Linked DNA regions of Saccharomyces cerevisiae S288C. Changing the gene in region 1 together with any one later gene gives a genetic interaction. Each region holds a gene or a part of one and is shown on either strand. Other genes may lie near its edges. The genes, in order: PIB2 and SEC31.

Region 1 (4,323 bases):
AGTCTGGAATCTATCGTTCAGTTGCAAAATCTTGTCTCTGATATGTAGGTATTTGGCCATACGGTCAGCCTGCTTGGATCCTTCTTGGTCTATGTTTGCCATTATCTGTATGAATTCATTGAACTGCAATCGCAACGGCAGAATTTCATCGCGTGCTTCGTTGATCTGCTTACACACTTTGTCCCTGGTTTCATTCTCGTTCTTAGCCAATATCACTTGTAAATCATCTAGCTTGACGCCTGCCGGTATAATCGAGTCCATTCCGGTTGTCTTTACTGCTGTTGTGTCCGTTTTGCGCTGCCTAATTGAAGAAGTCTTGGTGACTGTTTCTGTTGTTCTCTTTAAAATTTCGCTCGGCGCCATACCGAAAATCCTCAGGAAAGTGTTAGTGTTATATATTATATTATATTATATCATATTATATTAAGTTTATTGTATACATAATGGTCATACATCAATAGTGTACATCCTCTCTTCGCTTGTCTCGCAAAAAATGTTCATCAGAAACTACTCCAATTCCAGTTTGCAGGCACAGAGCCGATAACACTGCCCAAAACATCATTACCTTCTTCTTGTTCTCCCCCCGTATTCTCATTATCTGCTTCTTCGTCGTTCGACTTCACCTGGATGGGCGTTGTTGTGTCTCGATCAACCGTGGCATGCTCTTGGGACGAACCGCCCTTCTTTGGTCTGAAAAGAGCGTTCATCTGCCTATTCTTGTAGTAATTGCGTAATTTCTTCCTATTGTCATTATCGTCATCTTCGCCCTCCTCAACGTTTATGTTATCCTCGTTCGTGTTTGCGTTATGGTTCGTGGTTGAAAGGTTCTCGTACTCGACCAGACAGTCATCGCATATTTTACAGAGAGTGCCACCGCCATTTATGCCACCGTTGTTTAGTTCGTTGATCATTATAAAATTTGCCTGCGAGTCCAGGTACAGCCAATGGCGCAAATGGTCTTGACAAAAGATGTCCCCGCAATGCCTGCAATGATGTTTCCTTTCCCACAGGGTAAAAGGCTTATGGCAGTAACGACAAGAATTCCTCTTACTGTCCGGAATCCAGTGGTCCTTAGTGGGCGGGTTTACTCTGGCAGAGTTTCTGTTTGAAATAGTTGGTATTAAGTTGATTCTGTCGCTGTTCGGAATAGAATTCGGGAACAAGTACGAGGATATTTTGTTTTTGTAGCTTTCCAAGATTGACGATGTGTTGGATTGTACGCTGGATTGAGAAGATATGATCCGTAGGTTGTTCGCATTCTGAACGCTAGCGGATTGCGACTTGCTTGGATTAAAGCCATGTTCCAGGTTAGATGCCTTCTTGTAGTAAGACGACAATGTTGCATTCAACAGATCGTCATTAGTTATGTTTGTCTCTGAAACTTTCCTCAGCACGGCGGGGATGTATAGCGGTTTTTTAGGGTTACTGATCTGTCTTACATTTGATTTATGTTTATTGGAATTAAAATTCAGATTAGTGCTCGAAGCAGGCTGCGGTAAAAATTCCAGCGAGGGTTTCCTTAGCATCTGCTGATGCGGCGGTTTCGCCGCATGATTCACCGAATCAATAATGACGTTCGTGTTGCCAAACCGCAGTTGGGACATCGAGCTAGAATTCGTTGTAGTCAGCTTGTCGACAATATTTTCCACCTTCGACGTCGACGATGACGACACTGAAGACGTGGACGAAGATGAAGACTCTTTCGCCTTGTTTTCTTTACTCAACCTCAAATTAGAACTAGCATTCATTTTGAACGACGACAACTTGCGTAACGCCTGCGTGGTTAGATTCTTTTGTCGAACCTCGTCATCGTCATCGGCATCATCTTCTAACTCATTGAACACAGTTTTGCTCTTTGTATTCTTGCCCCTGCTAACATCCACCACGCTATTGGTGGGATCTAGTTCAGGGTTCGATCTTTGGTCATCCGTGAATGGCAACGTCTTGCCGATCTCCTTACTAGCAGAAGCCTTCCTACCATCTATCTGCCCTTCACCGAGCTTGCTACTGTGGCTGCTGCGAACATTCTCCTCAGCAGAGTTCTTCCTCAATATGGACACCATCGCCGGAGATTGGATCTGCTGCTTTCTGTCAACAAACCCAGTGCCTGCCCCTGTTGAGCTCTCTTGCTGCAACTGCTGCTGACGATGTTGATTTACCATCGATTTCAATGAGATGCTGCTCAAAATACTCTGTTCGGAATGCGTTGACGCCCTGGGCGCTATCTTCTTCTTTTCAAACGTGATGGGAGATGTCACGGTGTCAGCACCGCTTTCCTCATCACCTTTCCTGCCACGGTAGTCATGGTTCCTTGGTCCCAGGGGAACTCCTCTGCCGTCTCGCTCATCACCGTCCTCCTCCTCTTCCTTGATCGCGGGCGTTTTGGACACACTATGCAACGCAGTCATTCTGGTCTCCACTACAACTGTGCTGCCCAGTCCTCCTCACTGGCGCTTCGTACCTATTCCAGGTCTCAATAGTCATATCATAAGCTTTCTTTTACTTCTCTTCGCCTCTGCTAAATGGTCACCATCGACGGTTGCTTTTTCGCGCTGGTCGAGAATTGACAAAATAAGACACGAACAAAAGAGCAAGTCTGAAAGAAAGAAAAGCAGCAAAAGCACGGTCTAATTCAACGTGACATAGCATCCGCAATCGCATTCACAGCCGTAAATCCTAACTACCATTCGTCATTATCACAGCTGCCATGGGATCCGACCGGTCGTGTGTTTTGTCTGTGTTTCAGACCATCCTCAAGCTCGTCATCTTCGTGGCGATTTTTGGGGCTGCCATATCATCACGTTTGTTTGCAGTCATCAAATTTGAGTCTATTATCCATGAATTCGACCCCTGGTTCAATTATAGGGCTACCAAATATCTCGTCAACAATTCGTTTTACAAGTTTTTGAACTGGTTTGACGACCGTACCTGGTACCCCCTCGGAAGGGTTACTGGAGGGACTTTATATCCTGGTTTGATGACGACTAGTGCGTTCATCTGGCACGCCCTGCGCAACTGGTTGGGCTTGCCCATTGACATCAGAAACGTTTGTGTGCTATTTGCGCCACTATTTTCTGGGGTCACCGCCTGGGCGACTTACGAATTTACGAAAGAGATTAAAGATGCCAGCGCTGGGCTTTTGGCTGCTGGTTTTATAGCCATTGTCCCCGGTTATATATCTAGATCAGTGGCGGGGTCCTACGATAATGAGGCCATTGCCATTACACTATTAATGGTCACTTTCATGTTTTGGATTAAGGCCCAAAAGACTGGCTCTATCATGCACGCAACGTGTGCAGCTTTATTCTACTTCTACATGGTGTCGGCTTGGGGTGGATACGTGTTCATCACCAACTTGATCCCACTCCATGTCTTTTTGCTGATTTTGATGGGCAGATATTCGTCCAAACTGTATTCTGCCTACACCACTTGGTACGCTATTGGAACTGTTGCATCCATGCAGATCCCATTTGTCGGTTTCCTACCTATCAGGTCTAACGACCACATGGCCGCATTGGGTGTTTTCGGTTTGATTCAGATTGTCGCCTTCGGTGACTTCGTGAAGGGCCAAATCAGCACAGCTAAGTTTAAAGTCATCATGATGGTTTCTCTGTTTTTGATCTTGGTCCTTGGTGTGGTCGGACTTTCTGCCTTGACCTATATGGGGTTGATTGCCCCTTGGACTGGTAGATTTTATTCGTTATGGGATACCAACTACGCAAAGATCCACATTCCTATCATTGCCTCCGTTTCCGAACATCAACCCGTTTCGTGGCCCGCTTTCTTCTTTGATACCCACTTTTTGATCTGGCTATTCCCCGCCGGTGTATTCCTACTATTCCTCGACTTGAAAGACGAGCACGTTTTTGTCATCGCTTACTCCGTTCTGTGTTCGTACTTTGCCGGTGTTATGGTTAGATTGATGTTGACTTTGACACCAGTCATCTGTGTGTCCGCCGCCGTCGCATTGTCCAAGATATTTGACATCTACCTGGATTTCAAGACAAGTGACCGCAAATACGCCATCAAACCTGCGGCACTACTGGCCAAATTGATTGTTTCCGGATCATTCATCTTTTATTTGTATCTTTTCGTCTTCCATTCTACTTGGGTAACAAGAACTGCATACTCTTCTCCTTCTGTTGTTTTGCCATCACAAACCCCAGATGGTAAATTGGCGTTGATCGACGACTTCAGGGAAGCGTACTATTGGTTAAGAATGAACTCTGATGAGGACAGTAAGGTTGCAGCGTGGTGGGATTACGGTTACCAAATTGGTGGCATGGCAGACAGAACCACTTTAGTCGATAACAACACGTGGAA
Region 2 (8,420 bases), on another chromosome or scaffold:
ACTGTGAATGAGACGTGCCATATAATCATTAATATCATTCATAGTACTTCTATTACTTTGGTCGCCTTGAGATGAGGGCCCGCCTATTTCATCTTCTGTGTAATCTTCGCTTGAGTCGCTTGAGAGTGAGGGAGGCCCTCTATTATACGTATTAAGACCAAGCCCATTTCCTAGGTCCACATATTTGGTTCGAATTTCAGCAGGCTCTGTTGTTTGCGGGATTGGAACGTCTTGCAGAGAAGGTGACACAGGGACTGTCATACCACTACTTTTGTTCGGGCTTTCAAGAATTTCTGTACTAGTAGGAATATCAACACGTTCTGGGATAGAATGAACTTCTTTTTGATTGGGACTATGATCTATTTCGCCCGATATCGTATTTCGAAAATCATTTCTTGGTGTTTCATCGTCAAAATTATTTCTTTTAGCAACAAAAGTGTTCTTTCCGTCTTCTAATCTTTGCAAAGGATCGTATTGGAATTTAAGTGCGCGTTCCCTAATATCTTTATTAAATTTTGGTGACACGACACCAGTGGATGACTTAATATATAATTCATCAATCTCTTCTAATGTCAAACCCTTCGTTTCATAAACGGTCAAGTAAACAACTATCACCCCCATCGCATTTAAGGAGCCCCAAATGAAGAATATTTTTGCACCTAATGATGATGTATGCGACCCAGTATCTACAATATAAGGGGTAATTAAAGCACAAATAAAGTTTACAAGCCAGTTAGCAGCAGCGCATATAGCCGTACATTTAGATCTCACACCCAATGGGTACAGTTCTGCTGAAATAACCCAAACAACACCACCCCATGTAGCAGAAAAGGCAGCTATGAATAGACATATAAATGCTATCATAACTTTTGCGGCCGCTACAGTCTTTAAGGAACACCCAACAATGGCCACAATAAAGTTGGCTATAGTCATGATAACACCCCCAACAACCAGCACCTTACGTCTACCAAAAAATTCCACAAAAAACAAACCAGGAACATTAAAGACAACATTAACAGCATAGGTTATAAATGAAACCAGATAACTATTACTGACTCCTGTCTTATTGAAGAAATTGACACCGTAGTAAAATATAAAGTTGATACCTGAAAATTGTTGAAATGCTTGAAGGGCAATTCCCGTAAACATCCTTAGAGTTTGCTTTGGTCTACTTTTACTTGAAATAAAACAATCAATGAAGTTCGAAGAACCAAAAGATGCCTCGTAATCATATGTTGCCTTTATTTCAACTAGTTCTTCCAGTAACCCAGAATCATGGACTGGTACACCTCTTAAAAACGATAAAGATTTAGCTGCTTCATCTAGCTTGTCTTTCAAAACGTAATAGCGTGGACTCTCAGGGAGAAAGAACATCCCGATAGCGAGAAATGACGACCAGACATATTGCAACCCTATGGGAATCCGATACGAAGATGCGTCGTTTCTTGCGTGTGTCCCTTGCGACACTGCACTTGACACGAGCAAGCCCCAGGTAATGGCCCATTGGTAAGTAGAAATAATAGCACCTCTTAATGATTTATGTGTAGCTTCTGCTTGGTATAATGGAACAACCGCTGAAATTGCGCCTATACCGATACCTGAAATGACCCTTCCCACAATCAATAATGTGATTCCTCCAGCACCTACCTGTAAAGAATTTCCGATAGAGAAGATGAAAATTGTACTGAAAATGATAGTAGGCTTCCTGCCATACGAATCAGATATAAATGGTGCAGTTAAAGCCCCAAAAAAAGTTCCCAATGACAAAAATGACACCAAAATGGACATTTGTTGGGCGGTAAATGAATCGTGATTAGGTGCTACGTGTGACTTCACATAGTTCATAGATGTAATACTGTTGATCAGACCTGTATCATAACCAAATAAAAATCCGCCAACTGCAACAAAAACACCTACGCATATAGACATCATCATAGATTGTTTCTGAGGAGGCTCTGAAAATAAAATTGAGTTGTCGTCTATGGTAGAAATGTCATCCGTAAACACGGATGTCATATTAGATTGCCTGTCAGAATTTTGCCGCTGCAAGCTCGTAGGGGTTCGTATGCTACCTGTCGTATCATCTGTTGTATGATCTTTGTTACTATTGTTTCGTCGCAGTGCTATGCCCTTCACCCTCTGAAGAGCTTTGTCTAGGAAACCCTGTTTCTCTTGGCGTAATGTTTCGCTAGAACTGTTACTATTAGGATCCATTTATAAATTCTTCTTTCTATGCCAACAAAGGCATATCCTTCTGTTTAAAAAGGTCCTCAGTAAAACTTTTCTGTTTTAATTTCTATAGTGAGGTCAACTTATAGTGACTCTCTCTGTTTTTCTTCAATAAAATGCTTCTTATCTGTCCTATGATCTCTCGATGTGTAAGTACTATCAATGCAATTTGCCGAGGATAGGACTATTGTCTAGTTTTTCTCAGTATGACTGAATTTCCCCAGATTATAGAATAATTGACAGTTCCTCCTCCTTTTGTTCTTTAGAATGTGCGATGCGGCAAGTTTAAAATTTCCCCGGAGATTTGCCGCTCGAGGTGTACATGGTAAAAACATAAGGGAAAGGCTGTAAAAAAGATATAAGAGGTATTGGTTGGTTTTGAGAAGTAATGTTAAGCTAGTTCTAATTGTGATCTTGATTAGGTTTAAACATAAAAGGATAAGTACATAAATATATAAATATAATACTATAAGACATAATAAGAAAAAAACAAGGCCAATACGCCACTTTTTGTACTGAAAGTTTTGAGACTGAATTAATTCAAAGTCGCTTCAGCTATGCCAATCAACCTCTTCACTCCTGTCAGCCAGTTACCACCCTCTTGAGCATGGTTTGTAGCGATATTAGCATGGATGACCATAGCTTCTTTGTATTTCTTTTCCTTCATTAATGCGACGAGGTCATGTAAACAATCGATTGTTGGTTGGGTTAATAAATCCTGCTTTTCCAAATGGTAGAAAAGAATCTTTAATCGTTTATCACAATCCTTTAATTGTTTGGAGTACTCCTTTGGGGTCAATGGTGTTACGCGAGCCAGTTCTTCTTTCAAGAAGTCGACAATGGGTTGTTGATCAGCTGGAATTTCATGACTGACATTCTCAGCGGAGGTATTAACCTGAGAAGCCAAAGTTGGCGGTTGAGAAGGCTGCAATGGAGAGGCCGAGCTGGAAAGGGTTGGAGGATAAGTAGCACCTTGAGATGGGTTTTGTTCTATACTAGCTAACTTGTTGCTTCTCTTCTTCATGCTAATCGGAGGGGGGCCAGTGGGAGGTTTGTTAAAAACGGGAGGAGGAGAGGTCATGGTATGGTTATTAGTATACGGACCGGTTGGAGGATAGGAGGAACCGTTGGGTTGAGTGGTTGCAGTTGGAGCATATGGATTAGAGGCCTTTGGCAACGGAGCTGGAGGCACGCCTCCAGATAATGGGGTTGCTACTCTTTGTTGTGGTGGTGGAGCATAGGGGTTCGATGAAGCTACCTGAGCGGTGTTTGACGTTTGGTTTGCTGTAGAAATAGTACCTATTGGGAATTGTTGTGATGATTGAGGAGGAGCGTATGGATTTGATATGGATGCCCTTGGTGACTCAGAAGTTGCAACCAAGGATGGGACTCTAGAATTTTTGTGTAGAGGAGGTGGTGATACCATTGACACAGAAGAGGGAGCTCTGGAAAGAGGTGGCGGAGGCATGGTACTAGCAGCATTTGCAGGGATACCATTTAATGGAGTTGGTGTCGATAGGATATTTGGAGGGGCAACAGATACAGCCTTGGCACGAGATGGTTTTTCTTTGACCTTCAAAGGCAAATCATTCCAACCATCATTGGCTTTACGGTTGAGATGTGGCGTTTGACCCGATACAGCATTAATTGGAGGTTGTGAAGGAATAGAGCTAGATTGAGCATTATAGTCGCCCATAATAGGCATACCAGGTTGTATAGGAGCAAAAGTGTTTTGCGGAATCGACGTTGTAGATACGTTCGTTGCAGGAACTGTTGCAGTGGCATATGGGTTAGGCGGAGGAGCAAAAGAATTCAATCTGGTCGAGCTATTTGTTTTGTTAACAAAAGGTGACGCCATCGAAGGTTGGCTTGGTGGCGCATATTTACCTTCTGTATGAACAGGAGCACTAGTGGTGGTTGCTGGAACGTACGGCTTTGGAGGTAGAGCATTTGCAGAGGCGCCTGGTGTCATACCATAAAATGGTGCCTGCATACTAGGAATAGAAGTAGTAGAAGGCATTCCAGGAGTTGGTAGTACAGGAACGTTCTTATTTGTCTTGGCGTTTGTATACTTGGCTTTGCTGGTCGTCGCTGTCGCAGGATTTTGTGCCGGTAATGATTTGCCGGAAGCAATCAAGACACGTGCCTTTTCTGTTTTAACCTCTTCATTGTCACTTGGTAAACTATTTAAGAATTCAGTGGCTAGTTCGAAATTTCCTGTGGAAGTAGTTAAGTTGATAAATTCCAAAAATTTGGCAATTAATTGCTCATTATTAATGGTAGAGCTTCCATTAATGAAGTTGGAAAATACGGTGAATCTTTCAATGAACTCAGTTAGACATTCGGAATGAGCTTCATAAATTGTCTTATTATCTTTCTTCAATTTATCCTCCAAATCTGGAAATTCTGATAACCAAATTGAAGCCACCTTATCTAATGATCCGGCAGCCAAGTACAAAGTCAAAGAATCTTGTCTATGACCATTTTCCTTTAACCTGTCTCCCAATTTAATCAACATTTCATTCCTCTGGGCGATATCATTTGGATATAAGTTTTGAATTGCTTTAGAGATAAACTTCCACTGAGAGACATCCAAATTTTCAACCAAATCATCTACTTCCCTCTTAGAAATGGAGTATAGTATCCTCGAGAGCGATGATTTAGATCCATACTTCGCAAAATAGGCATTCTTGACACTTTCCTTTAATCTTTCGTTATTTGAATCTAATGCGATCACCATGGCCTCCATTAGTAAGTCATTCTCTAGAGAATTTTTCACAGCGCTCTTAATGTTGCCAGAAACCAAGTTCTTGGAAATAGTTTGTTCGATATTACCAGACAAGGAGAAATCGCCCTCGGGTTGGAAATTGGTTTCAATTTGTTGAAAGAATTCTTCCCCATCGTCTTCTTTCTCATTGTTGGCATCGTCTTGTGCATCTGATTCATCGTTGTCGAATGCAAGAGCCTCTTTCAAGAACTCCTCAGTACCGTCCATTGATAACTTTTCCAATAAATTCCAATCTTCTTCATTAACGTCATCAATAACTTTGACCAGTCTTTGATTTATTAATGGTTTGAAATCCTTAGTTTTCAACGCTTCACTCAAAGTAGTGTTTGATTCTAAGCCTGAAATTTTTGGGTTTGTTATAGATACACCTTTACCATCTGGAGTAATTTGAACCAATTTACCACCGAAAGCCCAATGAGCTGCGGGAGATGGTTCCCCATACCAAGTTGGGGCTTGTAAATGGAAAACAGTTGGCTTCTCTTTTGATTCCTCTCGGGAAACATTATTCCAAAAATCTGTTTCAGATTCTTGCTGCTTAGTTTCGGTTTCTTGCTCATCCAAAGTGTTTGTGAGATTTTGCAAAGTCTGTACCTCAATTTTGTTATCAAAGGAGGCACAAGCAAATAGGTCTGGAGCCTCTGGTGCAAATTTGGTCTTAAAACACCAGTTTCCACGAGCTGGGAATTGGGACAGTTGTTCGGCTGACTCAGGGTTCCATAGAAGAACGGTATTATCTCTACCACTGGACAATAATAGATGTTCGTCCTGATGACACCAATCTAATGACAAAATACCCTTTTGATGGCCTTGATTTAAAGTCTGCAATGGTGTGTTGGCGTTTCTTAAATCCCAGATCAGGATAGATGGATCATTATCGCTACCAGTAGCCGTTGCCACTCTTGTGGAGTTTTTTGGGTGCCATTCAACAACGGACAGCTGTTGCTTGATACCTGAATTAGGTGAAGTGTAACTTAGATGAATGACTTCCTTCTTAGCCTTCAAATCCCAAATAGATGCGAAATTAGACGACCCGGCAGATGCAAAAACATGGGCCAAAGATTGGTTCCATGCTAGGGAAATGACCTCGTCAACGGACGACATCGATTGACCCGGTGTCAATGGAGTATAATTGGAGGGCGATTCAGTGCATTTATTCATGTCCCAAATAAAAATTTCACCGTTGTTACCACCCGAAGCAAGAACGTTGTCTTGCTTTGCGTTAAACTTTACCGTCTTCACAGAGGAAGAATGGTTGCTAAATCTGGCCATGGAGTTGATAGCGTTGTTTGCTTCATTGGTGGAGTACAATTCCAAACTACCGTTATCCAGAGCACCAGCAATAATCTTGTTATTATGAGACCAATCCAAATCATTGAATTTGGAATCCACTTGCAAGGAAGCAATAGGCTTCTCCGAATCAGCAGCCAACAATGACCACAATTCTAGAGATGAATCAGTGGAGAAATTAGCATCCACCGTACCAGATACGGTACCAGAGACCAATAATGGAATTTTATCATGTGACCACGCAAACGTGGCTGTTCGAGAAAACTCAGCAAGTTTGACCATCTTTATTGTTCAATTAGGGAGAGCAAACGGGAACAAAGGGAAATATGTGTGAGTAAAGTGTCTATCGCAGAAGCTTGCCTTGTCCTAATGTTCTACACCTACAGTAGCGAAATAGTGCTGGTTCGTGACGTGTAAATTCAGAATGCAACCCGACTACAGGAATAGAGGAATGGATCTGACACGACTTGTTTGTTCTTTTCACTTTTCGTTCTCGGGCGGATTGATCGTGTATGGTGATTTTTCACGCTGAAGGGGTAGAACCAGAAGGGGATGGAAGGGGATAGATGAAAAAAAAAAAAATCTATGAAGTAGTAGCAAGATAGGCCAGATCTCCAGTCAATTGATGAGTGTGGTATTAGGCAGAAGCAGAGGACGGTGAAGAAGCATATCACATAATTCTCCACCAATTCTAAACGCACAGTTGCACCTTTTTTGGAAGACAATCTTTTCCTTGACTCGGAGGGCATATAACTTTGTATATTGTAAATTATGAAACCAACTACCAAGGCAGGTATGTTGCATAGCAATGGAGAAGATCTTCTGCGATGCTAGTATTAGCAAAGATGTAAAAGCGCTTTTCATGTCTTTAGGAGCGACGCGACGCGTGAGTAACATATCTATCCATAGGACAAATAAATAAACACCGGGGACGATTTTTGCACACAGCTTCGATCAGTGGAGAAAGGAGGGAAAAAGGCCAAGACTGAGTGCTTATGCCAAAAAATCGTGGTGTCTTGGATGCCATCACTCGCAGTGTGATAGATGGTAGTGATCAGGAGTCGAGCTCATCTTTCAACTCGGACAAGGAATATGCGGCTGTGACGAAGGGCCTCAGCAGCTCAAGAGTACAAAAGAAGTCATCTTTAAGGCAGATGAAAAGCAAAGTCAAGGAGCTTCAATCTTTAGTGAATCATTACCGAGAAAATGAAGCCGCTTTAGTGTCTAGCGCCAAGTTATTGTCCGGCGAGATCATAGGCTATGAAATTAAGATGGCTAGTTTACATGGAAAAATGAAAAGTATCCTGGATGAGAACAACGCGTTAAAGGAAACGCACAAGAGCTCTGCTGAAAAGAGAATCGAACTTGTTCGACTTCCCTCTAGCAAAGAAGAACGCAACTACGATGAATACACTTTGCTTGTTAATCTCAAGAAGGAAATCTGCGCCAAGTTACAGGACTACAAAAACGTCCAGAACACGGTGAACACCAAGTTAGATGAGATTCACACGTTCCATGAAAAATACTACGAAGGACTAGAACTAAGTTTAGACAGCAAGGTGTTTGATGCAGAAAGCTCAAAAGAGCTGGCCAAAGTGAGGCGAGAACTGAATAACGTGAGAAAAAATTCCGAAATCAAAGTGAATAACTTGAAAATGCAACTGCTACAAGCAACCAAATCACTGGAGCACTTGAAGAAGCAGGCTAAAGCAAAGGATGACTATCTTAAATGTATTCCTGAGCTGGTCGACAAAGCCAATCTCACGATGTTATCCTACAAGAAAAGCATCGCTAACCAGAGGGAGACTATCGAAGCATTACAAGCAGAACTATCGCAACAATCAGAAACAAAGGGGCAAATAGAAACAGAAACACAAAATCAAGTACAAATCCCCACCAATGTGACTTTGGTGGACCCCTTTGAGGAAAACAATCCAGAGGATTTGTTCGCTATCCAGGAACAGGAATTGCAAGATCTAAGGTTGCATAAGAAAATGGCCGATGAGAGGAGCCGAACTACCCACTTGCATTTAGAAAGAAAAAATAATACCATCAAGCTACTGCAGAGTTACGTGCAATCATTAATTCAACGGCTACCACCAGCCCAGCGCAAACA

Evidence for each region.
Region 2: of PIB2 (region 1) and SEC31, a mutation in one rescues a mutant of the other (synthetic rescue), as found in Saccharomyces cerevisiae (one study listed by BioGRID).

Annotation. Positions count from the first base shown.
Region 1 is NC_001139.9:449,697-454,019, forward strand, and holds PIB2 (Pib2p), read right to left. Parts: upstream 2,409-4,323; coding exon 501-2,408; downstream 1-500. Other genes in the region: PGD1 (Pgd1p), read right to left, coding at 1-261; dolichyl-diphosphooligosaccharide--protein glycosyltransferase subunit STT3, read left to right, coding at 2,708-4,323. UniProt on the Saccharomyces cerevisiae protein: Functions as an intracellular glutamine sensor that directly activates the TORC1 signaling pathway, to promote cell growth when glutamine is available. May play a role in repressing NPR1 activity independently of TORC1 signaling.
Region 2 is NC_001136.10:105,374-113,793, reverse strand, and holds SEC31 (Sec31p), read right to left. Parts: upstream 6,587-8,420; coding exon 2,765-6,586; downstream 1-2,764. Other genes in the region: SNF3 (glucose sensor), read right to left, coding at 1-2,214; ASF2 (Asf2p), read left to right, coding at 7,300-8,420. UniProt on the Saccharomyces cerevisiae protein: Component of the coat protein complex II (COPII) which promotes the formation of transport vesicles from the endoplasmic reticulum (ER).